Drosophila melanogaster: one gene and its partners. Each later gene encodes a partner of the first gene's protein in a complex. Each region holds a gene or a part of one and is shown in the gene's direction. Other genes may lie near its edges. The genes, in order: cup, me31B and exu.

The links.
Region 2: cup (region 1) and me31B share a complex: the UniProt entries of both Drosophila melanogaster proteins name them as parts of the nanos RNP complex.
Region 3: cup (region 1) and exu share a complex: the UniProt entries of both Drosophila melanogaster proteins name them as parts of the osk RNP complex.

The regions. Positions count from the first base shown.
Region 1 is NT_033779.5:6,659,251-6,668,749, forward strand, and holds the start of cup (cup), read left to right. Parts: upstream 1-4,413; 5' UTR 4,414-4,899; coding exon 4,900-5,337; intron 5,338-5,680; coding exon 5,681-6,541; intron 6,542-7,013; exon of another isoform or gene 7,014-7,100; coding exon of another isoform or gene 7,101-7,758; intron 7,759-7,835; coding exon of another isoform or gene 7,836-8,041; intron 8,042-8,110; coding exon of another isoform or gene 8,111-8,280; intron 8,281-8,420; coding exon of another isoform or gene 8,421-8,439; exon of another isoform or gene 8,440-8,783; intron 8,784-9,091; coding exon 9,092-9,499. Other genes in the region: Ube4A (ubiquitination factor E4A), read left to right, coding at 1-68, 129-511, 578-2,449; CG13771 (uncharacterized protein), read right to left, coding at 2,847-3,817, 3,882-4,124, 4,186-4,327; Galt (Galactose-1-phosphate uridylyltransferase), read right to left, coding at 7,101-7,758, 7,836-8,041, 8,111-8,280, 8,421-8,439. UniProt on the Drosophila melanogaster protein: Adapter protein that plays a central role in localization of transcripts in the oocyte and in young embryos. Maintains RNA targets in a repressed state by promoting their deadenylation and protects deadenylated mRNAs from further degradation.
Region 2 is NT_033779.5:10,234,178-10,244,286, forward strand, and holds me31B (maternal expression at 31B), read left to right. Parts: upstream 1-5,163; 5' UTR 5,164-5,358; coding exon 5,359-5,408; intron 5,409-5,761; exon of another isoform or gene 5,762-5,907; intron 5,908-6,314; coding exon 6,315-6,414; intron 6,415-6,502; coding exon 6,503-6,881; intron 6,882-6,955; coding exon 6,956-7,603; intron 7,604-7,668; coding exon 7,669-7,871; 3' UTR 7,872-7,995; downstream 7,996-10,109. Other genes in the region: eEF1delta (eukaryotic translation elongation factor 1 delta), read left to right, coding at 1-182; mthl15 (methuselah-like 15), read right to left, coding at 610-773, 851-1,237, 1,308-1,486, 1,550-1,628, 1,854-2,109, 2,198-2,370, 2,750-3,668; chico, read right to left, coding at 8,460-9,981, 10,042-10,109. UniProt on the Drosophila melanogaster protein: ATP-dependent RNA helicase which is a core component of a variety of ribonucleoprotein complexes (RNPs) that play critical roles in translational repression and mRNA decapping during embryogenesis, oogenesis, neurogenesis and neurotransmission.
Region 3 is NT_033778.4:20,666,927-20,677,391, reverse strand, and holds exu (exuperantia), read left to right. Parts: upstream 1-6,630; 5' UTR 6,631-6,754; exon of another isoform or gene 6,755-6,756; intron 6,757-6,900; exon of another isoform or gene 6,901-7,014; 5' UTR 7,015-7,041; coding exon 7,042-7,191; intron 7,192-7,260; coding exon 7,261-7,413; intron 7,414-7,496; coding exon 7,497-8,792; 3' UTR 8,793-8,817; exon of another isoform or gene 8,818-9,040; intron 9,041-9,109; 3' UTR 9,110-9,965; downstream 9,966-10,465. Other genes in the region: galla-1, read right to left, coding at 4,955-5,052, 5,123-5,273, 5,534-5,646, 5,714-6,008; Fem-1, read left to right, coding at 10,198-10,465. UniProt on the Drosophila melanogaster protein: Ensures the proper localization of the mRNA of the bicoid gene to the anterior regions of the oocyte thus playing a fundamental role in the establishment of the polarity of the oocyte. May bind the bcd mRNA.

The DNA.
Region 1 (9,499 bases):
CGACAAGCGAGCAGCTGTTCTTGGAGAGCTGCTAATTGACTACACCACTCCCAATCCCAGAGCTAGCGGTATTTAAAGCAAATTCTTAAATATTAGCTGCAATTCGATATAAAATCGTCATTTTTCAGGTAGCGAATATATGGACACTTTGTTGGGCAGTCTACTGTGCATCTCAATCCTGCCCAAGACCCAAACAGGCAAATACGAGTTTTTCCAGGAGCTGTCAATAAACCAAACTGACGAAGCTCTGTGGGCTCTATTGTCGCATCACCAGCAGTCCATTTTCCTGCTGGTCAAGCAACTCCTCGTACTCTCACCCGAAACAAAGAAAAAGACGCTTCAATGGGTAGGCAATTGCCTGGATGCAAATGTGCCGCGTGGTCACCTATGGAGCAGCATCAATGCCAGCCTGGAGCAAACAGCTCACAGCACGTCAAGCGATGCCTTCATGACCAACCTGACTGCAGTTCTAGTTCGTCTCTGTGCTCCCCTATGTATGCCCTCGTTAAAGGTAAATACACTTCTGAACTAGCCATGCCCCCTTATCTAGTAATAACTTTTTAAATATTCGCTGCAGGTTCTCCTGGTGGACCCTACATATTGTGCAGTTCCCAACAAAGATCGGCAGGCGAAGGGCGTTAGTATGCTAAGGGCCCACGCCGAGACTTGCCTGCTCACCAGCGAAGAGGGCGAGGAGCGTTTGACGGCCGAAAAGTACAATTTCGTGACGGAGATCTTCTACATGACACACAAATGCTTCGAGCTCTCCAATATTCCGTGCATTGAGCGCTTCGTTCGGGTGCTGCGCGAGCTGCAAAACACGCAGATGGCGTACGGAGAGATCGTGAACAGCGATCCGAATAGCGAGGTGGCCAAAAACCTATTTCGCATGATAAGGGACCAGATACAGCAAGTGCTGACCATCAAGAACACGCTCGCCGAGCCCACCAATGACATGTACCTGTTGAAATTCTTCGAAGCTTCGGCTATTTGGCTCACTGAGATTGCCATGCTCCCGCGTGAGATTTACGAGCAGTGCCTGGACAAGCGCGACTTTTCCCCACAGGTTTTCCGCAACATGGAGCTGCTCTCAGACACACCGCCCTTTGTGGCACCCTATATGCAATCGGTGCCAGAGAGCATTATCGACAACATCTCGGCATTTTTGAATGCGGCCCGGAAACTAAACGGCGAACAATACATCAATATATATTTCTCTGCCCATGATGCCTTTTTCAAGATGATAATTCTATTCATGGGCAGCTCAGCGCTGGTCAAGAATCCTCACCTTCGGGCCAAACTGGCTGAAGCATTGGAATTTCTCTTGCCCTCACGGATTATGGGAAGCCATCGCAAGACTTTTGTCAGCCATGTCTTCGACAACCATCCGGATCGGTTGAAGGTGGTGCGCAGCCTGTTGAACGTTTTCGTAAGCATTGAGATGACTGGACAGTCAGTGCAATTCGAACAAAAATTCAACTATCGCCGGCCCATGTACGCTATAATGGAGTTCCTGTGGACCAAACCCGAGCACGTTCAGTGCTTTCGTGACCTGGCAGTCGAAGCGGAGCAGAATATGGATGCCATTGAGCCGCCCATATTTCTGCGCTTCATTAATCTGCTTATCAATGATGCCATCTTTCTGTTGGACGAGTCGTTGTCCAATCTGGAGCAGATCAAACAGCTTCAGCAGGCGCAGGACAATGGTGAGTGGGAAAGCCTACCGCACACTGAGCGTGAGCAGCACATGACGAACCTCCAGCACCTGGGCATGCTAGCTCGATTTGACAACATTATCGGTAGGGACACCATAAATCTCCTCAAGCTGCTCACCTCGAAAATCAAAAGCATTTTCTGCCACAACAGCATGGTCGATCGCATGGCAGCCATGCTGAATTATTTTCTGCTGAATTTGGTTGGCCCAAAGAAGGAGCGCTTCAAGGTAAAGGACAAGAAGGAGTTCGAATTCGATCCGGCTCAGACGGTGATCGAGATCTCTCACATCTACATCAACCTAAGCTCCGATGAGAGCTTCTGTTTGGCCGTATCGCAGGATGGACGTTCATACAGCGAACAGCTCTTCAGCTATGCCGAGAACATCCTGATCCGAATCGGAGGCGGCCAACTTATAGGCGACATGTCCGAGTTTGCTGTGAAGGTAGCGCGTATGGGTGCTCAATACAAGGAGGAGCAGGAGCTGCTGGCTGATGCGCCGGAAGAGTACCTCGATCCGATTATCTCAACGCTTATGACCGACCCTGTGGTGCTGCCCAGCTCCAAGGTAACAGTGGATCGTTCCACCATCGCCCGTCATCTTCTGAGCGATCAGACCGATCCCTTTAACCGCGAACCGCTCACCATGGATAAGGTCAAGTCCAACGAGGCTCTGAAGCAGGAAATTGAGAGCTGGATTCAGGGCAAGCGGGAGGCGGCCCGCTCGAACAGTTGAGGTAGCAGCGAACCCGCAGCTGCTGGCTCAGTTGCCCAACCAAAGAGTTAGCTCCACGGGGATTCGGTTGTTAGGGCAATAATCAATGTTTTTTTGTTCATAAGAATTCCAGTCATACATGGTGGTATGTGTATGTGCAGTTTTATAATTAGTGGTTTTTAAAATGTATTCTTAATCCATTTTTTCCTGTCAACCGAATTAATTAACAAACAATGTGTACGAATAACATGCAAAGGATAAATTATTGTAGTCATATTTGGTTTTGTGTTCACAATATGTTTACATATATGTTTAAATAAACGGCGTTTCGCTGAAAAAATGTGTATATTCAATTAATTCATCAAATGAAAATATCTATAATGCAAATCGACAGCATATGTTTTATTAAATCCAATCTCTAATTGTCTTTTTTCGCTCCATTGGTTTCTACGGCAGATCCATTGTCCATGTCGTGACTTACTGATTCACGGAATCGATTGAAGTAGCGACGACCAGTTAGGTACCACAGCGCCTCGTGATAGCTTCTGGGAAGGATCTCCGGAACTGCTTTGCTGCAGGAGTAGGTCAGGTGCAGCACATTGCACTTAAGCTCCGTAAAGCTATTGCCATCGATTGCATTCACCACCGTCAGCAGCTGAATGTAGTTTTCGTGGGTGAAAACCACGTACGCCTTCAGTTTTATATAGCTATGGACGGGAATGGAATGGGCGAACGTAACGTCCGCAATGAAGCGGATCATGCAACGCTGGTTGGAGTAGAGGGAGGCTGTCATGTAGCTAATCTCGATAGCCTTGCGGATGATGAACCCTCCGAAAATGGTGTTCGATTCGTTTCGGTTCTCCGGGAACGGATGCATCAGGGTTCTGCGGCGCCACGTGGACATCCAGCGGGAATTCGGTGGTAGAGTAGTCATATCACTCGGCGAAGGTCCGTCATCGCCCTTGGTTCGGGTAAATAGCTCGTACATGAGCTGCTGTTCCTCCTTGGTGGGCTGCTGCGACTCCAGGCGATACAACGCTTTGGCACGCTCCTGGTGCCGCTTCTGCGCTTCCTGGTGTAAACTTTCTTCCAGCTCATTGGCCGGCACCAGAGGATTGACAGGAGCAGGGCCATTATTGATGGCATCGCGAGCCTCTACCACAAAAATGCCCTTTGCCAGCAACATTCCGCTTTGTCGCACATATGCCGTGACCTCCATGAAGTTATTGTCCGTATATGAAACGTGACCGGAGAGGGACACATCTGCATCCGCAATAAACTTGTCTTGCAAGAAGTGGGCGTGGTCCACCAGCATGGTGATAAAAGTGTATGGCAGCGGCACACCCTCCGGCAGATTGGGCAGATGGATGTGAAGATGGCAGATCCACACTGCAAGGCCACTCTCATTAATCAGGTATTTGGAGTAGTTAGTTAGTATACTTTACTTACTTACCTGCAAGAAGGTCAAGTTCCTCAATTATCCTGCCCATGCGAAGCAAGCCTCGCCCGTAAACGAATCGTTGCCTCAACAGAGCATCTGTTTCCAGGAGCACCTGGGCAGTCGTTTGTGAGTCCAGCATGGAGCGATTGGGCAGTTCGTCTTGCTTCGGCTGAAACTTGAGCAGTCCATCCCGGCTCTTGGGAATGATGTGGTAGCCTCCTTCCACGCCGACGTGCTCACGGATTTTCTTCGCCACTGTGCTTGGTATTGGGAGTTGGATAAGTGGACGATAATGTGGAGGTTTACCCGCGGTTACCATCTGCCATCGTGCCCGAGCGGTGCCCCGAATCCAGCAGCTCCCTCCCGGATTCCATGAACGAGTGACGAATTGCACCCAGTTGGTGCCACGGGTGTCGCACGGCGATCACCCTTCTGCCAAAGTGCTGGCTCAAATTCATTTAAATTTTGGGTTTGTGTGCTCCGCTATATTCATATGTATAGTTGTCAAATAATAAGATACAGTACGTTAAAATCGTTTGCACTTAATTTTTTAAATTTGTAACAGAATAACGGCTTTTATGTAATCGAAATCTTAAGAATCACAAGTACTAGTTTCCAAAGTTATCACGTTCCAGGCTTAGCTACTTTCTGTTGTCAAAAGTAAATGTCGTAGCGCATTATTAATAAATTCGCTGTTTTGTTTAGGAATCAAAGAATTAACTATTTGAAAGCTGTATAAGTCGCAGATCAGTGTTTGTCAACACTGGTCAATCCATCCTCCATCTTCCACCATTCGCTTTCGGTATTTTTTCCTATTCCTGTCCTGCTTACTCATCGTAGCAGCGCCGAATAACGGATCCTAAGATCGAACGAACCTGTGCTAAACGTGATTTCGTTCAATTTCTCATACATTTCAATATATTTGACCCGATCAAAAGTACTCGTTTTAAGTTTTAACCAAAAAAAAAACCAACAATTAGTGAGTATGGACCCTATGAAAGAGGAGGCGATCGAATTGAATGGCCATGCTATGCAAATGGCCGAAGCTGAGCAAGAAAATGGCGCTGGCGCCCTGAAAATTGCCACCAATGCGGGTGCAACCGATCGTCCAGCGCATCAGCAGCTTCCGCTGCCAGTCGAAGATCAGCAGGATGAGGTGCTGACCCCCGCTGAGAAGGGCAAGTTCGAGTACCCGCCCCCTCCACCGCCACCAACTCCAGTCCAGGCTCCGCTAGCCACCAAGGCCACCGCTCTGAATGCCAGTCAAGAGCATGACGACGACGAGGCCAACTCCGAGAAGTGGGAGGATCCGTGCGCTCCGCCCCCGCCTCCTCCGCTGCCGACTAGCGCTTTCCTGGCCACCGGACTGGGCTACCTCAAGCTGCCCGCCTTCAAGCTGAAGGACGCACTGGAGAAGGCCATCACCAAGTTGGAGGCCAACAAGCGGACGCTAAAGGCCAGCCCTGAGGTGAGTTCATTACATATAACATTTTTAATTTTATTATTAGCAGTGCACACTGTTGTCAGATTATATATTTATATTGAAATACATTTTAAATTTAACTTTTCTTGAGTCAAACTTGATATTAGTCTAAAATCTTCGCAATATTTATTGGCCAACAAAGCACAGTATTAAACACGTAAATGGTATTAGGAATCAGAGCAGCTCTGATACAAATGTCGTTAAAAATTTAGTTAAAGAAACTTTGACTTGGCATTCATATATTCGACACTTATTTTACATCGAGTACAGACAGGCACTCTCATATATCATGAAGTTTTTTCAATGTTGTTTTTATTTTGGCAAACAGTCTTCTCGTTCCATCAAAAACAAGAATGTGGTGGCCCTGGAGATGTTACCCAGGCGCTCAAACCCAGAAACGATCGGCGATGGATCCATGTTGGCATCCACATCCACGGCTGTTATGCTGCAGACCAAAAAGCCCGCCGTTATTGTGGAGATGGAGAGGCGTTGTAAGATCATCAATTTACTGGCCAAACAGAATCAAATCCTCGAATCCATTTCGGGGGAGGCCATTCCGATGCATGGACCCTCGAAGCATCTGCACGAGGACGAGGGTCTGACCCTGCAAGTTCTCTCGGCCCGAGCATCCACACCGTACACACAGCCCTCCAGCATGTTGTCCTGCACGGCCGTTAGTTGTGACCTGGAGCACGATTCGCCGCGGAAGCAAGTGGCCAGCAAGGAGGCCGTGCCGGAGCAGCAGTCTAGTCAGGTGCAGCAAAAGCGTCCACCCAGCACAGGCATTCACAAGCCAGGAAGTCTGCGAGCACCCAAGGCTGTTCGTCCTACTACTGCTCCGGTGGTCAGCAGCAAGCCGGTCAAGAGCTATACCCGCTCCCGCCTGATGGACATTCGCAACGGGATGTTCAATGCCCTGATGCACAGGTCCAAGGAGAGCTTTGTGATGCCTCGCATCGCCACCTGCGACGACATTGAGTTGGAGGGAAGGCTTCGCCGCATGAATATTTGGCGCACCTCGGACGGCACAAGATTCCGGACCCGCTCCACCACAGCTAACTTAAACATGAACAACAACAACAACAATGAGTGCATGCCTGCCTTCTTCAAAAACAAAAATAAGCCGAACCTAATCAGTGACGAGTCCATCATCCAGAGCCAACCGCCCCAGCCGCAAACGGAGTTCCAAGTAAGCTAGTTAAACTTATACTATTCTACTCAATTTTGCCATATATTCTATATAAAATAGACTTGGTTAGCTTAATGGAAAACTTATGATTTGAAAAGGAAAAAGTGATTGTGACAGTGCGGTAATTGTTACAGTTACACATGGCGTCGATTCATTTGAGTACCTCGACCATCTGATACCCCTTCCTTTGTAGGCCAAATTGTCTTTTTGGTCTGCTCAGAAAAGCTCTTTTATGAAAAATCATATTTCCCGCCTTTTCTGCTTAGAAAAAATCGCTTAATCGATTAAGAACATTTTCCCCACTTTTGCATTAGGTAACACAAAGTCGCATTATTCCTGAGCTTATCTGATAAATCAATGATTGCATTGCATGACCTCCAGAGGTCTTTGGCAATCATGCTGATCATTGGCTGGACCCTCGCCACAGTCAAATCACTAATCTAGAACATTTTACAACTGATTGCGAATAAGTATGAAGTAATTACTACAGTCGTATTAGACTATTTCCTTTTATTGAATTCTAAACCATCTGGGATTCTACAAATACCCTCGAGCGAAATCACTTCTCTAGATAATGACACTTTCCATCGACCTCCCGCAACCTTTGGGCTGCCTGTTCGGGAGTCAGATCCCGCTGGGCCATGGCCAGCAGCTCAAATCCCACCATGAACTTGCGCACGGAGGCAGAACGAAGCAGCGGCGGATAGTAGATGGCGTGCAGGGTCCAATGAGCACTGGATGCGTGGGCATGCTCCGGCCCAGTCGGTGCTCCATGCCAACCCATCGAGTAGGGGAATGAACACTGGAACAGATTGTCATACTTGGTGGTCAGCTCCTTTATGGTCAGCGCCAAGTTGTATCGCTGTTCTGCGGTAAGATCATTGATCCGCTTATTGTTGTTGCGTGAGATGAGCATGGTTTCGAAGGGCCAAGTGGCCCAGAAGGGCACCACCACCAACCAGTCGCGATTCTCAATGACAATCCGCTCCTGGCGCTGCAGCTCACGCTCCACATAGTCGGCCAGCATGGGCCGCTCGTTGGTGGCGTAGTAGGCACGCAGACGCTCCTGCTTCAGTTGCGGTTCCGTCGGCAGAAACGAGCATGACCAGATCTGGCAGTGCGGATGGGGATTGGAACACCCCATGGCGGCTCCCTTGTTCTCGAATATCTGCACCCACGCGTACTTGGCGCTAAGCTCGTTGAACTGGCTGATCCACCTAGATAGGCAGTTAGATAAAAAGTGGGTTTATTATTTTGAGTATCTTCTGATATAAACCATAAATCCTCCACTTACTCGTCGATAACAACGACGATTTCCGCTGCACTCATCGTGGGCAAAGTCAGATTCGATTTGGGATGGAAGCACATCACTCGGCAGTTGCCACGGGCGGGAGCTATCTGGAACAGTGGATCATCGTTGTTGGGCGGAACGGGCACCACCTCCACCAGGGCCGGGAAGTCGTTCTCAAACACATAGGTGCTCTCATATTCCGGAGTTTGCTGATCATTTACAAAATATACACGTGAGAATGCTTAAAACATTTGCGAGGATTTAGTTTGGTCGCTTACGATTCCATTGGGTCTGGTGACGCCAGGGCACAGAGGATTGGTGGGATCGAATTCGGGCAGCTCGTTCTTCTGCGCCTTCTCCTGCTGACCCGACCAAGGGCGTTGGGTGCGATGTGGGCACACTAGGACCCATTGGCCGTTCAACGGATTTAGACGTCGGTGCGGGTGCTCTGCAATGACATTCGATTTTAATTAAGATTGAGCAGCGATAAACCAGACCATTGATTTGGAACTAATTGTTGATCAACATATGACCATTCGCCATAGAAACTGAATCAAATTGGCATGGTGGAACTTCTTTTAAACCTACCACTGGCCACAAACTGCATCGTGTCGAAAGACTGGCGCTCCGTATCACTCCGATCGGATTATGACTACTTCAGATTCACGGGACAAGCCCAATGTCAACCTGCCGCGTTGCGATTACAGCTCCTAATGCTGCTGATATTGGTGTTCCGATTGTGATTCTGCTTTTGCTTCTGAATCCGATTCCAGTTGAGCTGTTTTTCGCTTAGCAAAGCGCGCTTCTTCAGCTACATTCCTCTCTTTTCTCTCTTCGGATTATTCCGCTCACTCTGCCGGCGAGCGTTTAGTTTGAGTTTGGCACGCATTCCGCCTTTCAGTGGAAGAATTTTCCATCAGCCTTATCTCTCCCACTCAGCTGGGCGTTCTGATATGGGTGTGTAAACAGTGTGAGCGCGATTGTGTGTGCCGCTAGTGATGCGCGGTGGTCGATAAGACGTCCATAGAGATGGCTGTTTAATGTTTAAATAAGTATAGTTATATTTATATTTTATGCAGTATCTGTTTGCCTAATTATTGTGATTGGAACAAACTGTTTCCTAAAGTCTATTCAGCTATATTGCAATCACTGTAATCTAATTTCTTTAAAACTTATTAGCTAAGTAAGAGGTATATGATAGCCGAGAGAATTTTAAAGTTTTATGGAAAAATCTACAGATATTCGAATAATTATTTCAGGATCCGGCCATTGTTAACCAAAGACGCATTGGCAGCGGTCGCTTAAACCATTCCAAGTGGGGTTACAACGACGAAGACTACCACTCGTACCACAATGGCAAGTCGCAGCATATGGAGGAGGTCAACTCGAAGAACAGCAAAAACATGACGGTGCTGCAGTTCTTCGACAACGGCGAGATCAGCAGTCAGCCTCAAAGACGGCCGAACACTCCTGTGATGGGGATGTCTATCAATCGATCCGAGAACGACACCCTGCACTCGAACGAGTCCAGTGAAGATTTGAGTCGCGCCAACGAGAACTATGTAAAGCGCGTAATGTCTGGATTCCTGGTTGTATCGAAGCCCAAGTCACGAGATGTCGAGGATAGACATCACCGGCGGTACAGGAACCAGAACGAGGAGCCTGAG
Region 2 (10,109 bases), 3.6 Mb from region 1:
CCCAGGACGGTCTACTGTGGGGAGCTTCCAAATTCGTGCCAGTTGCCTTTGGCATTCAGAAACTGAGCATTTCATGCGTGGTTGAGGATGATAAGGTTTCCATCGATTGGCTGACTGAGGAGATCGAGAAACTGGAAGACTTTGTCCAAAGTGTTGACATCGCTGCGTTCAACAAAATCTAAGGGGTAACATATAATTTTTCAATTCACGATCGGATTTGCCGCATTACAAATGTGTTTGGGAGTCGTCTAAATAAATATTTTGATAAAAACCAACTTAAAAAACTGCATTTAAACTGGGAGTAATTGGTAAATAGTTTACTTTAGGATATTTTTTATGCAAACGATATGTTTTGAATTCGCTAAAAGGCCATATTATTTCAAAATTTATAAGAAAAGAAGATATATATTAGTTTAAGTCATGTATTCGCCATTCTTTGATTAATTAAATTCATTTACGCACGAGTATAAAAACAATGCAAATTACCTATTAAATAAATATTCCAGGTCACAGCTAAATTATGCACATATTAATAATGATTAAACTGAGGGACTAGTTTCATAAGGCTCTACAAATTATAAATAGTTAATCATAAGTTATTTAACCATCCTAAAGCATAACTTCGTTTTCGGGTCTCGTCGACGTTTGGCGCTTAAACTCACAGCTGCCAGGAGAATGTCGAAGAGTGGTCATCGCGGTGCTGGTTGGAGCATAGGATTTGGTCACGCCAGCGCGGGTTCTAGTCGATGCAGTGCTCGGATTTGATTGCAGACCTTAAAGATTAAATAAATACAAATTACATGTAGTATATTCAACTAACTGCCAGTTAATTGATGCCACTGAAACTTACCAAACTTAAACATAATTTCGTTATAAATTCTGCGCTTAAACACAAATATAATGAAGACAAAGATTCCAAGTAGCACATTAAACGAATCGCTGATGGTCCAAAAGAACGTTTTCTTGTGATCATAAAACAAAATGCTAACTATTTCCAACAGCCATGTGATGCCCATTACGAAACACAGTTTCGTGTTCATAACGAATCTGGTTTTGTCCTGAAAGAATCGCCTTTTCAAAACTGGCTTGTCGCTGTTCAAGCTCTGCATTTTGTATATTTCATTTTTTACTTTGTTGCAATACTTCATTGTGAGCACGAATAGAACTAAGTTTATAATGAAAAGTATGCCAACTGGACCCGAAAAGAACAATAAGCTGGCTGAACCAAAAGAATCATCTGGAATTAATACAAAAATATACAAATACTTTAATATTTAAATCGTAATTTAATTAGATTTTTAACTTACACGTAAACCAGCAACGACCATGTCCAAAATTTGGACGCACCGCATCCGGTAAAATGTCAGATTTCGTAAAAGCTATGGTTATTCCAGTTAGCAATGTTGGTAGCCCCCAGCCATAACACGAATACCAAATAAACTGCCTTCTCAGGTCGCTCTTTTCGCAGCTTTTAAGCTTTGTTGATCTACAATTAAATAAGTGTAAATTATTGCAAGTTTATCTAAATTTCAAAAGCATTTGTACTTACCCAAATGTTTTCCATATGTCAAAGGAAGTAATGTTCATCCAAGAAAAGGCAGCCATTAAACAGAAGTACACGAAAAAACCTTCAAGATACAAAACAGAAACAGTTTGTTTAGGTTTTAGTTACCAAATTGCACAAGAGAATGAGACAAAATACCCTTAAACAATTAAGTACTTGACGAGTATAACTATGAATGTAATAATAAAAGTGATTGCTATCGATTTCCCGCTTTTATGGTATAATAACTTGTAGGTCTCCTCGTCCCAGCAGGATTAGCAACTAATTACCTAATGGCTGCAATACCCACCAGAAAGAAAACAGATGTCGTCATTCGATGTGGGTCGCAATTGGCCCAGCGCGATTCCAAGATATGCCGCAAACAAGCTGCTAACGAGGCAAATTAGGATTTTGCCGGGCAGGTTTCTCAATTTGGCAATTGAAATGTAGACAATCAGTGTGAGTGCATAGAAGCAGCAGGATATGAGCAGGCCAATGGGATACATCTTGAAGCGAATCCTGTCGCCGGTCACCACCTTATTATCAAAGCACAAAAATGTATACAGCTGCTCTGAAAGGAACGAAGGCAAATAATTAGGATTATACAAGACACTACTGTATAAAATATGTCGATTTAAATAGGAAGGAGTTTACCTTTTGATTGGGTCTGACCCGTTCCACGCAGTACTGAGTATTCGTATAGGTTTTGAATGTGTTATGAATGATAAGCGAGCCATTGGACGGATTTATCGTATGCGAATCGTCTGGAAAATTATCAGGATCCAAGCGAAACTTTGGGCACTGCAAGCCGTGAACAATACCGAAATCTGAAAAGTATTGAATACAATACACTATACAATCTGACCTATGTCAATGAAAAGGCAAATGTGTCATTCACTTGTTGATTAACCAGATAAGAAAATTTGACAAAAATAATTAAAATGACAAAGCTAATGAAAAATGTCAATACTAATGAATGACGTAGATAACTTCAATAGCGAAATTTGCTTGGCACTTGAAACCAATTGTTTATACCACTTATTTGATCAGACAAATGGAAAACATCAAAATCGATTGCTTCCAATTCTTAATAATATTTTTGATCATTAAGTTTACGACTTTAATGGGCGATTACTGCGTTCAATTGCCGCTCGTTTCCTGCTATAAAGACCTATAAAAATAACTGCAAAACTGGTGACGACATACCTGAGGGCTTTGAGAAGTTTGCGTTGATATTTAGGTTCTGAAAACCCTCAAATTTGAAATCGGTTCCATCGATCTTGCAATAGGTACTGAAATTTCCTTTTGCATACATTTCACCTTCGGCACAACAACGACGAATACAGGGTATTTTTTGGCAAATTTTCATTTCCTGACAAGCACGCACCAGAAACTTCTGTTCCGGTAATGCACCTCTATCCAAATCCGCATCGTCGGAGTCGTGAATAGCTTCGATGCAAAACTTGGAGCTGGGCAAACTGTTGGTTCCATCTTTCCAAATCAACGAATTATTATGAAAGTGCACTTTTCCGGAGGACAACGTATATTCCACGAGTGCTCTGTGGTCGGAACAGTTTAGGGTGTTATCAAAAAATATAATTGGACTGCTGATGATGGAAGTATAAACAAAGAAATCGCTTTCGCCCGGTTTGCATGTATTATTTTCGGAAACGTAAATAAATCCCTGTGGGCAGCACTTGTTTACAAATCCAACACTTTGAGACGGCACATTCTTTTCGAATTCACAAGATAAAACGATGAGACGTCTGTTTAATAGTCCAATGCATGAGTTATTTCGCAAATTCAAGGTGCGTTCACCTAAATCACTTATACTCAGACTGCTAAAGTTCTGGCACTTTGATAGTGCGAATTGGCTGTGGCCTGAGTCATTGATAGCCTTTTCTAATCCAAGGCCCATTGGTGGTATCAATTTGCCTATCACTTGGGCAAGATCCGGAAGTTCACTGATGTTGCTTGCGGCGGAAGCGCACTGGTATATTTCCGCATTGTCCACAGTGCGGCGATATTTGAATAGTAACGAATTCGCGGCACAGCATAACTGAACGGCGAGCACTTTTGAAATGCCACTTAAAATCAGGCACACTAAACTTAGTCCGATGTTCATTGTTTACGGCTCGTCTATTATACCCAATGACCGATTTGCGAGCTTGTGTAATGTTTGTATCTTTTCTTAGAACGGACTTTTCATATCTTATCATTGAGGAATCGTTATCGGACCATATACACTTCGAACCGCATGCAGTTGCCGGATTTAACGAACTGAACTGAAGTCTTCGCGATTCCTTCGCGAGCAAATGCGAATGTTTATGGGTAAACATTTGGCCCGCACACAGACGGACATAGCTCGACGTATATAGGCAATACATTTATGGATTCTCGTAAGCCTATACAAATAAGTTATGCCCCATGGAGTGCCTAACACTTAGCATGCTGGGGGTGCTCACGGATGGTATCAATACACCCAAATGGCCGCATATTTATGTAGGTACTTTGTGGTTCTAACACATATCTATCTATCTACACAATTCAATTGATGACTTTGTACACTAGCTTCTGACGGCAAGACAAATGCGACTGCTCGTGTTAACATTGTGCAAAGCTCATTAAGGGGAAATTGATAAGGTACACAGATACACACATCCATACACACTTATGTACAGAGGTGGGTGAGGTAAGCAATGGATCCTTTAATCGTCTAAGTACTCTACGCACCATAAATCACCTGGAAAATGTCAACGATACGCAAGTATTTATCTTTTCAATTAACTTAAGTCTAGTTATTAGCTGACTTTTTTCCATATATTCTTTCATGACACAAACTAAAATCGCAAACATAAATGTCATTTTTATAATATACAAATCTCCTCTATCGCAAGTACTATTTATTTATTCTAATACAAATATATTAATTTTGTCATTCTCCAATCGGAATAAGTATAAATAAAGTATAAATCCATTGGTTAAGAAAAGAAAAATCAAAAAAATAATTTTTATTCATTTTAATGTTATTAGTTAGTTTCTAATGTGATCTTTCATTAAATATTTAATACTTATAAATTATAAATGAAAAGATATTCATAAAAATCGCAGACAATCAAATTAAAGCTTAACTCAGATGTTCTTCTTTCATACACGTTCGAAATCTTCCTGTCGTTCCTAAGTCCCGTTCACACAGGCAGCTGCTTCATCTGAAATGCAGTTCATATATTGTTTTTGTTATAATTAAACGGTGATTTTAACCCGGCCGGAGTGGAGTTGCTCATTGGAAATGCTTTTCTAAATTAATTTAAATTTAAAATAACGGCAACAGCAGCTAACACAACAAAAATGTGAAATATTTGGGTATACATATACACCTACAGGATTTATAAGAGGAAAATTTAAATGCCGATTTTTTTTAAATAAAATAATTCTTGCCTAAATATGTGGACTAATTTTAAAACGTTCATTTGTTTTTGTTAAGCCATGTATAAATTTCTACAATATTATTGTTCGTCATTTTGAACTTGCAAAATTTGTTTCATTCCAACGTTCCAAATCAGGGCAATACATATTTATTATCTACACCGAGTGAAAATATTTTCCGAGTCATCAGAAATTTGTATTATTGATAGCATGTTGTAAGGCGACTCGACTATTTTGAAGCTAAGTGAAATTTTATATTGAAACGCAAAGTTGAATACGTGAGCAGTATATGAAAATCGGTGAATACAGTGACTTCATTAGTCAGCCGAAAGCAAAAGAGAGCGAAATACATTTTTTAAACAAACTAAACTAAAATTTCACTGTGAATAATGATGACTGAAAAGTTAAATTCTGGGCACACTAATTTAACAAGCAAGGGGTTTGTATATTTTATATTTATTTATATTTTTTTTTTCACAAGAGGACCCAAGCTTGGTGTCCCAACAAACATAATATGCATGCGTATTCATCAGCCCATATTTATGATTAGATGCCGAAAAGACAAGCCGTTTTATAGTTTAGAACGTCAATTTTTGCAAATGATTGAGCATGTAAAAGCCGAAGATCTGTATTTTAGCAACATCATGTAGTTAGGCTGTTTTCACTCAACAACTAAACCTGCAGAACATGTTATCTAATGAAAAAAACCAAACAATGTGATTCCCGTATTTATATTACTTTATTGTATGTAGTAGCGGAACATGTGTACATATGTATAAAAGAGTTATCTACATATGTAGTTGCACTCGTGGACTTATTTACCGCTAAAAATGTTGCTAAATATAATTGCACTGACTTAAATCATTTAGAAACTAACACTGTATTTAGGTAAAACTTCTATTGGGTGATTCTCAACTTTTGAGATCAGAACAAAACAGGTATTTTTTTTTTGCATTTCAGCGCCATGAACAGTTATTCGTGGGCTGCCATTTTAAAATTTGGAGTAGCGTTTCTTTTTCTCTCCTCCATAAATGTGCGAAAGAGAAAAAATGTTGAGTTCAATCGCTTTTAGATTGTTCAGTTCTTAAATATTCAAGACATTATCCATCTTTGTTTACGATTTAAAATCAATATTAACATTATTATTAATATACATTAATACATGGCTTAGACTTTAGCTTAAAATGCACTTTACATAAAAGAACTCATTTACAAAATTTTAAAAATCAAAAATTTTTAATATATATATATGCTTATATATGCCATCCATATATATATGGATGTGAATGACCTACATATATCGTAATACTTTAATTACCATTTTATTTTTTTTCTTTTCATCCAGGATTATAAATGATCTTCAAATTGCTGGAAACACAAGTGACGATATGGGCTGGAAATCAAAGCTGAAGCTGCCGCCAAAGGACAACCGATTCAAAACAACTGTGAGTTTGCCGACAAATCAATCGGAATTTATACAATTTAAAGCACAAACAAACTAACAAATAAATGTATTGCCATTGCCTTACTCAGGATGTGACCGATACGCGAGGCAATGAATTCGAGGAGTTTTGCCTTAAAAGAGAACTGCTTATGGGTATATTCGAGAAGGGATGGGAGCGCCCTTCGCCAATTCAGGAAGCAGCTATTCCTATAGCATTAAGTGGAAAAGATGTGCTGGCTCGGGCCAAGAACGGCACAGGCAAGACAGGAGCCTACTGCATCCCAGTTTTAGAACAAATCGACCCAACCAAGGACTACATTCAGGCACTTGTGATGGTCCCCACCCGAGAGTTGGCGCTACAAACCTCACAGATATGTATTGAGCTGGCGAAACATCTTGATATCCGGGTAATGGTCACAACGGGAGGTACCATTCTAAAGGATGACATTCTTCGTATTTATCAAAAAGGTGGGTTTTGATGATAGTTAAATAACCTAATATCGGTTTAATTGCAACTTTCTAAATTTTCCCTACGCCTGCAGTACAATTAATTATTGCCACTCCCGGACGAATATTAGATCTGATGGATAAGAAAGTTGCCGATATGTCGCATTGCAGAATATTAGTTTTGGATGAGGCCGATAAGCTATTGTCGCTTGATTTTCAAGGCATGCTGGATCATGTTATACTAAAGTTACCAAAGGATCCACAGATCTTGCTATTTTCCGCAACATTTCCACTAACAGTCAAGAATTTCATGGAGAAGCATTTACGCGAGCCTTACGAGATCAACCTGATGGAGGAGCTAACACTGAAGGGTGTCACTCAGTACTATGCATTCGTACAGGAGCGCCAGAAAGTACACTGCTTGAATACGCTCTTTTCGAAGCTGCAGATCAATCAGTCTATCATATTCTGCAATTCCACGCAACGTGTCGAGCTATTGGCCAAAAAGATCACAGAGCTTGGATATTGCTGTTACTATATACACGCTAAGATGGCCCAGGCACACAGAAATCGAGTATTCCACGATTTCCGCCAAGGACTCTGTCGCAATCTGGTGTGCTCCGACCTGTTCACCCGTGGTATCGACGTGCAGGCCGTGAATGTAGTAATCAATTTCGATTTCCCACGAATGGCAGAGACATACTTGCATCGAATTGGTCGCTCAGGACGTTTCGGTCATTTGGGTGAGTTTAATTGCATTCTCATATTATAGTTTAGCCTATTTACAATCTTCGTTTCTCATTTTAAGGTATTGCTATTAATCTGATAACCTACGAGGATCGGTTTGATCTGCATCGGATTGAAAAAGAACTTGGAACCGAAATAAAGCCTATTCCGAAGGTCATAGACCCCGCCCTTTATGTCGCAAACGTTGGCGCATCCGTTGGCGATACTTGCAACAACAGTGATCTGAATAATTCTGCGAACGAGGAGGGCAACGTTAGCAAATAAAACGGATATGCCCTGTGTAACGCTAGTATCTGAAATAGAGTCTAAATCGTGGAATCAATAAAAACAGATGAACTATTTCAGAAATCAAAATTGTATTAAATAAATGGAAAGCAATTCAATTTTTAAATGCGCTCTTAAGATAACTGAAATGACTGGTCTATAAAAAAAAGGCTCGTTCACTTTGTGGGTTTTGGTGCTGAGAAGTATTAACATTAACTATTGGGGATTTGGTAAGGAAAGTTAGTCGAATGCTATTAAAAGGCAGGCTAAGGTCGTTTAATATCAATCCAGTTTTTAGTAAAGGGTTTAAATCAAATAAAAGGTCTAAAAGTAATTACAGGATTTTCGGACAAGAGAAGTACACTTGGATCAAGCTAAATCCTAGATTTACTTACATGGAAGAATTACCATTGGCAATTACCCGATTTACTAGATTCCAAAAAAAAAGTACAAAGGGATCATTATAATTTAAATAAAATTTATTTATTAGCATCCAAAATTGTAAGCTTTGCTTGTCAGAATATTTACAATAAATGTACAATATTAAACAAATCATATATATAGGATAGGGTCATAAATTTCAAAACTTTACGTATTAAATATGTTCGATGAGGAGGAAGAGGAGTCGGATTGGTCAAAGTCGATTTTCGCATAGGTATTCCCATCCTCCGGGCATGCGGACACCGGCGGCGATTCGCGTGATCCTCTCTTCAGGTATTTAGCTGGATTTTGGCCACTGCAATGGGGAAGATCTAGGCTGGCGTAGTGCAGCTCCGGCTGGGATATGCGAGACGACGACCTTGAGGGGAAATTCAAATCTTTAATCTGTAGAATGTTCTGTGGTGTACTTGGATCTGTGCCAGTGCTACGCGAATCGGCGGCGGCGGCTGGCTTTGCTGAATTTATATTGAATTTGGTGAGTGAGCTGCTGCTCACCGCGGTGGCGGTGGCATTATCGGGAATCGTATTCACACTCTCTGTAAGTCTCTGCGAACGCTCCAAGTTATCCTTGTGTATACCCTTTTGGTATAGCTTCGATGAGATGAGTGAGCTGTCGCTTTTAATTTGCAGAATTTTGTAGCCGGCTTCGTTAAATTTTGTGAAATCATTCGATTTGTCCTTGATTTGTGTGTAGTCTTCGCTGCTTATCGAATGAACCAACTTCTTTTCCTCATGCCCGCCTATATCCAAATTGTTGTTCTCGACAATCTTGTCGGCCAGATGATTATTTAGCTTATCGCTGCTCTGCGCGCACACTTTCTCGCAATCAATTTGATTTGCTGAATGAACATCATGGCTTTTGCTTGTACTCTCGACATTTGTGGGTTTCGAGCTAAAGGTGTTGTCATTCAATGGCGAGTTCGACTTCTTTTCCTCGCTTCTGCTGGGCTGTTCTCTCCATTTCTCAGCGGATATATTGTATGTGCTAATTTTGTTTAAATCGTGCACTGGTGCGGCTGTTGCGGTGAGTGGCGGTGCTGTCTGATAGTCGGATAGCTTGAGTTTCTCCACTTTCATTGGCAGGCAATTCGAACTGGGAGTGTATCCATTACCGACTGGCTTCATCTCGAGGTAACCATCCTCGGATGTGATCGCAGTGTTATTTAGTTTGGTGCCATTGAAAATGTCCTTTTGACTTGTGGCGTGCAGAGTTAGGCTGGAGCTATCCGTTCGCGGGGCTTTTGGGAACACGTTTTCAATGTATTTCGGAATTTCATTATTCTTGATGAACTTCTGCTTTTCCAAATTGGTTGCTTGTGAAAAATCAATTTCCATTAAGTCACTCATTCGGTCGGAGTTTATCTGGTTCTTCAGACTGAGGAGTGGAGCACTTGTGGACTTCTTTTGTCGATTGGCACTGCTGCCATAGCTGGTTCCTTCCTTGGTAATGCTACTCTGACTCCTATTCGCTGTGAACTCATGTTTATTGTCCTCCACGAGGACCACTCGCTGCAGGTCGCAGCGCGGTATCTTCGATTTGGAGCCAACCGAGTAGGCTCGCACGCGATTCGGATTCTGTCCCGTATCATTCAAGTGTCCCAGGCGCTTATTAAACTTTAAATGCTCAACCTTGTTGCCTATCGAATAGGCGCGAATGGGACGACAGCATCTGTAACAAGATGTGATTGATTGCATTACGTGGCACAGTTGAAGCGAAATGTGTACTCACTGGTTATCAGAGTCCAGATCAAAATCCTTAGCAAGCTTTTCCGACGCGTGCTCCGGAAAGTTGAAATG
Region 3 (10,465 bases), on another chromosome or scaffold:
TATTTTAAAATTTTATTTCAATAATCTAAACATTATTGGGATTAATATGTGAAAGAGAACTATTTGAAAAGCATTTCAAATAGCGAAAGATTGAAGATACGAAACTGATAAGCCGGTTGATTGTAGCGCATTCTGGCACAGATTCGGTTTGCAAGCCACAAACACACTCGTCCTTTGCCTTTTGCTTGGTGTAACCAATTTTATAGAGTGTGTTAGAGTAAAAAATTATACAGAAATATTATGGAAAAACAACAGGACAGCAAAAAAAAAAAAGGAAAAAAAGGGAAAAGGGAGACGATGGCAGCCGCCGCAAAGGCAACAAATTCGAATGAAAAACTTTCTAATGAGTCGGCATTACAATTTCAAATTTGTTGCGCAAATTATTATAAAAGTTTGTGTGTGAGCAGAACAACATAATGAAAGTTATATACGAGCCTGAGGTTGGCATACAAATGCCACAATAATAATTTTCAAACCACCCATCGCCACCCCCAAAAAACCATGGGTGGAGTCATGGAATCCAGGAGTAAATGCAGCAGGAGTAGCCTAGTTTCGTTGTTGTTTTCGGTTTGACTAAAGAACTTGTTACACTTGCAGTCTTGACATTAAATTATTTAATTATTTTATTATAATTACATCTGTATATCTGTATACTCCAGCGCAGCACATGCATGTTTTTGACACATTTATTGAGCGAAAGTTCTTGTTTTTTCTTACGCCTCTTTTGCTGCAAAATTGTTTTAGTGGCATGTGAATATACTTACATACATATATAAATGGGGGCAATACAGGTCAGACTGGCCAAAACACAATTCGCACCTAATTTAGTTTATTATTTCATGATTTCATTTATTTTTCGCCTGCGGTCGGCCGAAAATTGTCCGCCAAAGTGGATTAGAGTCGGTTTTGGGCCGTAAAAGAAATTTAAACTTTTTCGCTCCGCTGTATTTTTTACGATGCGTACAAAAAATTGTTGCATGTTGAATGGTAGTTGATGGGGGGAGGGGGTGTGGTTTTGGGGCTGCTGCGAGTGCTGTTTTGAATATTTAAATCATTTTATTTGCCACGCCACTTAGCGAGCAGCTTTCATCGTCCATGGCTGCAATTCTTTCTGCTTTTCCGAGGGGGGGCCAAAATCAATTATTTAGGCAAAATGTCAGCCAAATCTGTGCTCTGTTGTTTTGTGCTCACTGTTTGTGTCACGTTATGAATTTAGATTAAACAATTTTGCCATCACATCGGATGTGTGCAATAGTGTACCAATGGGAATAGAAATCAGTTCGAAAGTTTTCAAAACTCCAATTACTCAGATATTGCGCTTCGAAAATTTAAATATACCCAATGGAAAAGCGTGTATAAACGGTTTTGTAGTTTCATAAATATTTGTGCCAAAATATAGCATGTTAAATATTTTCGTTACAAGCTTGAATTTGGTTGAACTACAAAAATTGTTTGTGCTTTGTATAGTTTGTTATGCAAAACCACAATGAAATTGTAGGAACCCATAAAGCCTTTAATTAGTTGGGTAACCGGAGTAGAAATGTAATTAAACTATTTGCTTACTTAATTTATGTTCTAATTAGATTGCAAACTTAATGGCGAGAATTGCAAATTCAAGCTTAAATTGTATAATATTAATTTAAGCAAAAAAAAAAGAAAGGGATTTAAATGTGTGCAAAAATCTCTGTTTGCATCTTGAAGATTTAAAAACTAAATGACAGTTTCTCTATAACAAACCCTTCAATGAGTAATTATACGAAACGATTTAAGCTCCATTTCGCCTGAGAACCTAATCGATTTTCGATGGGTGGTTCGAGCTGGACAAACAAACGCTGCATTCCATGGGAGCCAGCAAATGTGAAGCTATTTTAGACAATTATGCTCTGATTACACACGTTTTAGCTGCCATCAGACACCATTCCGAATCCGGCTGCAGAACCATTGTTGTCCATTGCAAGGATAGAAGGGGGAGCAGGTGGAGCAGGAGGTCCTGCACCTTTGTTAATTGCTGTTGCAGGCGTCTTCTGGCCAATGAGCTGGCGGAAGCTCAAATGGCACTTGCCGTGCATTTAACATTAGTTCGTTAGCTCCGGCAAATGGCAAATGGTCAACAGCAAAAGGCCCTTTGCCTGCTTGGAACCAAAGGACGGCGACCTCTTGGCCAGAAGTCAGCACAGTATGGCCAACGAAAATGTCAACTTGAGGCCAAGAAAGGACTCAGACAAAGGCTATATGTATATATGTAGTCGGGAATGGGGATAAATGCATGCGCCAGGTGGGGATGTTGGGCCAAAGGGTGAAGTATAACAAAAGAGCTGAAAATTAAAAAGAGACAAGCAATTAAAATGGCTTACAAGCGCGCGAACAAGGGGGTCCCCTCCTGAACTGCACCTACTCCGGCTCAGACGGAGCTCGGAGCTCAGCCGGTGTCCGGATGGCCGAAAGCAGGAGTCATCTCGCCATCATCCCCGCATGACTGTCCCTGCTTCTGCTGATGCGTAAGTTGTCAGTTGCTGAATGGCCAAGTTCCCCACTCTGACACCACTCCCTTTCCCCCCCCCCTTGCTCCAGCAGACATTTGCGGCAGATTCTGGCTGTGGCAAGGCATTCACCGCTGACCAGGACTTTGCATAATGCGCATACGCCCCGTTGGCCCGTGGGCGGTTTTTCGCCATTGAGTGTTACTTCCGGTTTTAAGGAGCTACAGGCCAACACTACCATGGCCCGAACAATTACAACAATTGGTTGTAACAACGCGCGCAGTAAGCCACCTGAAAAATAAAAACAGGAACTGCAATCCGAAGGGAATCGACTACAAAGTACTCATTAGATGCGTTTTAAAGCTTTGGTTTGGAGCTTCCAAAAGAGTTTTTAGTGTTATTTGCCTAGTTTTAATCATACCTAATTCTGCTAAAATGACTTTTAACTTCCTTTAAACCTGCACTACGGTTTTTAATTCATTTCTTCTGACTCCGATTGTGAATTCCAATCTGAACGGAAAAGACGGCATAACCGCACAGGCTGCAGTGGCTGCAATCCAAGGAGCCGGCGGGCATGAAATGCGTATGTGGGACCCATAATGAAATACATGGCATATGCAGAGACCCGGATCGGGCGAACAATGTGTGAATGCAACTCCACAGCCGGTCGTGGCTCCGGCATCCTCATCCTGTGCACTCCGTCCCGGATGCCCGCCGTCACGATGGCAATCATAATAATGGCATACAATTTAACAGCATTGCGTATCGGAAGGAAATCTCGGTGGCCGCAATCTGTGCCCCTCGTCTTCGGGCCACTGTGACTTGGAGTCGGACTCATTGCATTTGCCTACTTATGTACTCGGGGGTTATGTAACCCGGGGGTTGTGGGAGCAGGGGCGTGGCACTGGGCGGGCACTGCAGGACGGGATTAAATGGGTCACTTTGACCGCTGCACAAATGACAATTGCCGGTCAGCAAATCCTGGGGAATTGCTGCAGTTGTTGGCTCGGCTTAAATGCATATGCATTAACAGAATAAATTATGCATTTTTCGCACATAAAATTCTGTCGCAGTCCAGGCCATCATCTCCCATGACTCCTTCCTGGGCCATTGCCGGTGTGTCAACTGAGTCATTATGGCTGTGTCCCAAGTCTCTGTTCACGTGCTCTTCGGTGGTTATTAAAGGTGTCACTCCAGTAGCTCATATTAAATGGATTCTACTCATTATCTATTCCAAGAATTATGATTATCAACTATTATGTATTAATGTAATCAGTTTAAATATTGGTTTTAAAGTGTTTATTTTATACGGATATCCACATAATATAGATTGATAACAAGTAGCAGACCAGTCTGCCTCCAATTACTGTTCACCTGAAAACCGCGTGGTGGAGCTGGGGGGCACAAGCTTCTCCGATGGCTTCGGTCATGGTCAGGCTGGCGACACGGCTGCTGGAAGGCTGGGAGAAGCTAGTGTCTGCCACTCCTATTCCTTTCGGCCGACGTGTCCAGGCCGAGGTCCGCTTTGATTGCAGTCGCCAATTAGCGTAATATTCGCAATATGCTTTTGTCTGCGCATTCATTTTTATTATTTTTCCCTCGCCTTCTGAGGCACGCGGCACGCCTTAGGGGCACGAAGGGTCTGCTCTGGTCCGGTTTCCATTCCGTGAATATTGGCCAGCGGTGTCATGGCAAAAAGTTCGCAGCGCCAGATGGTTTTAATTGCTGGTGGGGATGTTTTTTGCCTAAGTCTTTGGAAATTAGTTTAAAGCATTTTGAGCGCGATGGCAAGCAACTAATTGATATTGCTTAATATTTATGGCTTGCCACTTTGGTGGGGGGAGCAGTAAGAGCGAAATGAGCGGAAGTGCAGTGCAATTTAACAAATGGAAAACCCCGGAAATGCAAATTGGAGCAGAAACAGCGACAGTCATGGCAACAAAGTGCTCACTGAAACCGGAGAGTTGCAAAGAAATTAGCCGAGTCGAGTTGAGTCGAATGTGTGTCATGCACTCAACTTAACAGCGCCAACGGCAGGTGATTACCCTGCGTTACGCCCCAAACATTCTCTACTCTTCTGAAGCTGATAAATCCGTGTGACGTACACGCCGTCTGGCTGGTGCCCAACATGGCCGGCCCATCGATACGATTGCGATTCAGATTCATTCACCCGCCATGACACCGATGTGCACACGGTTTTCTTGGGCCGAATGTCCGACGGCCATATCGCTTCGGCACAATGTAAACAATGAGAGTTGTTGGGCCCGGGGGACCTTATCAGTAAGCAGCATAGGCGGGAAAATAGATAGGACGTTGAGCAATCGATATTCTGGTGGAATCAAAACGGCCGAGCGATTAACAGATTTTAAGGGCTTTAATGCTAAGCACACACTCCCTGATGCAACTTAATGGTACACTTAATCCTAGACATTCCTCAAAGTATTCCCTATGTACAAAAGATATGGCAAAGAGAGCTACTCCTCATCCTTGATGCAGTTCTCGACCAAATCCCTCAGATTGGGGTTCTCCATGGCCGCAGCGATGCGCTCCTTGTCATTGATTTGCTTGTTAACTGGGGAAACGTAATCATTTTTACTTAGAACACATATGTATGATAATAGTATCTGGTTGGTCCAACTTACTCTCTTCCTCGGTTTGATGCGCTCCCTTCTTGATGTATATGTCTAGCTTTATGTTGTGCGGAAGTCCGCGTTCTACTTTCACGCGTATACAGAGTCCAATAAGCGTGGCCAACGAGCAATGTGGCACTGTGGGGTTAAACTCGATGCGAACCTGAAAGAATTAAGAGACAAATACCATGCATTTCAACTTTTTACTACACAAAAGATTTATGAGGTGTGGATTTAGTATAATACAAGTACTTTAAGCTATGAGATCAATTTTAAAGTCATTTTGAAGCTAAATCGTTAATCCTTTCAAATATTAAGCAACAATAGTGATGAAAGCAAATAAACACACGCGCAGATTTAACTTATGATGAAATGATGATTAGGGCTCAAGCTTATGGCTTATAAAGATATTGAGTAACGTACAACTGAGACATTGGAGCGCGTGGGCGGCATCACAAAGATTCCATCCTCGTAGACAACGTTGAGGTCCTCCAAAGTGCACGGCTTCTCGGGATCGCGAATGCCGCGCAACAGATCTGTGTAACGACAAGAGAAATTACATAACTAGGCCAAAGTGAAAAAGAATGCCATTAAATATCGAACCGTAGATGGTTTCCTGCAGTTCCGTCTGATTCTTGTAGCCCAGTTCATGGAGCAGTGCGTCCTCCCCGAAGGCAATGGCCTCATCATCCATCGACATCTGGCTCGTTTTGCGCACTAACTCGTCGGCGTTCTGGCTGCGTCCGCTGATACTGGCGCTGCTGCTGCCCGTACCGCTTTCACTGCTGCCCGTTCCGCCCGCTCTCCCACTATCGCCGCCGCACGACGACGTCACAGTTGCGACCGAACTGACGCCGCTGTCGGATTCGGAGAGCTTGCGCTTTATGTAGGACAGCATGTTGTGGCACCTGTGCGTGGTGTTATCTCGCCTGGTTTTATCTTTACCGTTGTGTGCTTGGGTGATTACAGCAGCATAATTCGGTCGGCAGGCGATCTATTTGCTTGGTAATTCTTCACTTTTGCGGTGCAAATTGTTGGAAATAAGCGATGGCATCAGCTGATTATTGTTTTTCTGCCGACCAGGGCTGCAGAGTAGGTATAAGTGCTAAGCCGTCTTCGATAAGTCTATCGATAGTGATATCGATACCCTGTCATCTCTGGCGCAACCATTTGAAATTCGTCATCCCTGATCCTCTTATCAGTTCTTGTCTGCGCTTTTGTCCAAATATTTGTTGTTTACCCACCAATTTTGCCGGCTAATAATTGGAAAAAAATTTATTTACAAGCTGAAAGACTATATTTTATTATAGCAGCGGTAAAAATATTCTGCAAAAAGTTTTCACCTGCACAGTGGGCGTTGTGGCAAGATGTGGACGAGTTGCAGCTGTCTAACCCATCGTACTTAAGTCAAAAACCTCGATTAGCAGGCTTTGCATATGTCAAATTCGCGCACTTTTCCTAGGCCGTCGGGTGCATCAGGAAATTATTCATTACGTTTTAGTTAGTCGTACGAATTGTTTCTTATTTGTGAAAGCTCGTCGAACAGAAGCAAATTTCGCTTTAACCTTTTGAAAAATAAAGGAAAAAGTTCGTAAAAAGCGAAAGAGCCCATCGAAACCAACACGAAAAAGGAGTTCAATAAAGGTGAGCCCAAAAGAAAAGTGCTAAAGTGTGGTGAAAGTGAACATACATACATACACATAAAAACATCTGTGTAAAAGATGGCGCCACTGGAAGAAAACCGTTAGTTGTAGCTTTGGGTTTAATAGACTCTTGAAAATTCGTAGCCCGTCACTTCATATCGAAAATCTAGTGAAAGCGGTTCGCGTTTTGCAAAGGAAATCGGTTCCTTAAAAAAAAAAAATTCTAGTGACTCAGCTAATTTCGTTATCCGAATTTTCTAGATTGCTTTTCGCAGATCATATAAGAAAATGGTTGCCGATAACATCGATGCCGGAGTGGCCATTGCCGTCGCCGATCAATCCTCGTCGCCCGTGGGCGATAAAGTTGAGCTGCCGGCCGGTAATTATATCCTGGTGGGCGTGGATATCGACACCACTGGACGTCGTCTAATGGATGAGGTAATACCCCCTGACTGCCGTTAGATCGTTCGTCGTTCGGTCCTAACCCCACTTGCGATAAACCCACAGATTGTCCAGCTGGCCGCTTATACACCCACCGACCACTTCGAGCAGTACATCATGCCATATATGAATCTGAATCCAGCTGCTCGCCAGCGTCATCAAGTTCGTGTTATTTCGATTGGCTTTTATCGTATGCTGAAGTCGATGCAGACTTATAAGGTGAGTCCAGTGCAGTCCAGTCCATTTAATAGTGGCAGTCAAGTATTGAAGCATCCACAATTCAACATACAATATCCTCTCAGATCATTAAATCCAAGTCTGAGATCGCTGCCCTCAAGGACTTCCTCAACTGGCTTGAGCAACTGAAGACCAAGGCGGGTCCCAGCTCGGACGGGATTGTGCTTATCTATCATGAAGAGCGCAAGTTCATTCCCTACATGATCCTGGAGTCGTTGAAGAAGTACGGCCTGTTGGAGCGCTTCACCGCGTCGGTGAAGTCGTTTGCAAACAGCATCAATCTGGCCAAGGCTTCCATTGGCGATGCCAACATAAAGAACTACAGTCTGCGAAAGCTTTCCAAGATCTTGTCCACGACCAAGGAGGAAGACGCGGCTTGCTCTGCGTCCACATCTGGATCTGGATCTGGCTTGGGATCTGGATCTAGTATGGTGTCCGATTCGGTATCGATATCCCCCAGGGACAGTACCGTGACCAATGGTGACGATAAGCAATCTAGCAAGAACGCCGTTCAGGGTAAGCGGGAACTGTTTGATGGCAATGCCAGTGTTCGTGCCAAATTGGCCTTTGATGTGGCCCTTCAGCTGAGCAACTCCGACGGCAAGCCGGAACCAAAAAGCTCGGAGGCATTGGAGAATATGTTTAATGCCATACGTCCGTTTGCCAAGTTGGTGGTGTCCGATGTCCTGGAGCTGGATATCCAGATCGAAAATTTGGAGCGTCAAAACTCCTTCCGTCCGGTGTTCCTGAACTACTTCAAGACCACTCTGTACCATCGTGTGCGTGCCGTAAAGTTCCGCATTGTGCTGGCCGAGAATGGGTTCGATTTGAACACGCTAAGTGCCATCTGGGCAGAGAAAAACATCGAGGGCCTGGACATAGCCCTGCAGTCAATTGGCCGGCTAAAGAGCAAGGACAAGGCGGAGCTGCTCGAGCTTCTGGACAGCTATTTCGATCCCAAGAAGACCACGGTGAAGCCGGTTGTCAAGGGTAACAGCAACAATAATAACAATTATCGTCGTCGCAATCGACGCGGCGGCCGCCAATCGGTGAAGGACGCTAGGCCATCCAGCTCCCCATCGGCTAGCACCGAGTTTGGAGCAGGAGGTGACAAGTCGCGCAGCGTTTCCTCGTTGCCCGACTCTACTACCAAGACTCCCTCGCCAAACAAGCCGCGTATGCACCGTAAGCGCAACTCGCGTCAAAGCTTGGGTGCAACCCCCAATGGACTCAAGGTTGCTGCTGAAATATCCTCCTCAGGCGTGTCTGAGCTCAACAATAGCGCTCCACCTGCCGTAACCATAAGCCCAGTCGTGGCACAACCCTCACCGACACCGGTGGCCATCACGGCCTCCAACTAAAATCCAGTTCTGGTGGATCCGTAAAGTAAATATCTTATATTGAGATACTTCTGCCATTTGCTTTGTAGATAACGTAGTTAACGAGGGGTAAGCCTTCATGTAGATTGTTGATTAATTTTATGAATTGCGTACACTTGCTTGTATTTTTAATGAATTTTATGCATCAAATATATTGATAAAAATGTAGCCTTTTTTAGCTAAATGTAAAAGGTTTTATTACATATTTTCAATATAAACTCACAACGCTTAAGCTAATCATTCAAATCACTTTGGGATTTTCGGGATTGAGTTTCCTAACCGACATTTTGCCATTTCAGTATATCAAAAAATGGATGATCAAAACACAAGAAGACAAGGGCAGAGAATGGAGATTTAAACCACATACGAACTTTCTTCCTTTTAGAAGATCTAGTGCAGACAAGCTTTAAATTCCAGTGGAAGCAAATTTCCCGTGAACACAACAAACACATCCGCGCACAACTCACGAGCACGTTGGTGTATCGATAGTGTGAGTAAACCGTGACTGTGACGTAAACAGTGACTGTTGAATAGTGATGACACAAGCTTCAAGCGACATTTTTGAAACGAGTGAATTGTTAATCGAGACGTTTGAAAACTATATTGTCCAGCATAGGGAGGATGCTGAGCCCACTGTAAACTCAAGAGACTATATATCCACACTTTAAAGCAGCGTATGCTAGAAATAATGATGGAGAAGAAGGAACAACAAATATGATGTACAATTAAGAACTCGCTGCGTTTAGGCATAGTTTTCCCGGCGAACCGATGCACATCGCCGCACTCAAATGGGAGATTGGGAAAATATGATCCAAAACGAAACGCCTCGATGAAAATTTTCCATTGGACGGGCCTGTCGACGCACACTATCAAAACTCTATGAATAAAACCCAAGATCCAGGCCTGGTCCAATGTAGAAAACTTTCACATTGAAGCTAAAGAAAGCACGATATAAAAATACACCAATCTAATACAGTTAACCTTACGCACGCACACGCACGCACACAGAAAGCATATTCAATTCGCACACTTAATCTAACCCAACACTTGTGAACATATCCAGTATTTCAAGCTGTATTTCATATATGTTTCATATTTACAATCAACAAACATATGTAATATCTGCAAAGGGCGCGAATAAACGAACGATAAACTAACGAATCAACAAACATATGTAATATCTGCAAAGGGCGCGAATAAACGAACGATAAACTAACGGTCAGCCTATCGCGCCGAGTCACTGTTTTCACTCTCGCAGGTGCACCGCTAGGTGTGACCGTATTGCCGCCTGGCCTGGAAAGAGTGGGCCTGTGTGGATTGCTTCCATACCCATACCTGGTGATCAGTGATCACCGATCAGTGCAGCATCGTCCATTTCCCGGCCAGAATGGACGTCGATCCCGCAGAAGAGGCGCCTCTAGACGAGGCACATACGTCCATATACGACGGCTATCCGCCCGATTTCGGCTACTTCAACATGGCCCACGGAATGCTGGTGGAGATCTCCGAGGAGATCCGGGCCAAGTTTCCCCACGAGCCGCGTCTACGTTTCTCCCAGCTAAACAACCTTCACCTAGCGGCCCGCAGTGGTCAGATGTTGAGCTTCGTCGAGATCTTGAATTCGGTTAGCTGCAGGGCGGTGCAGACCCACCTGG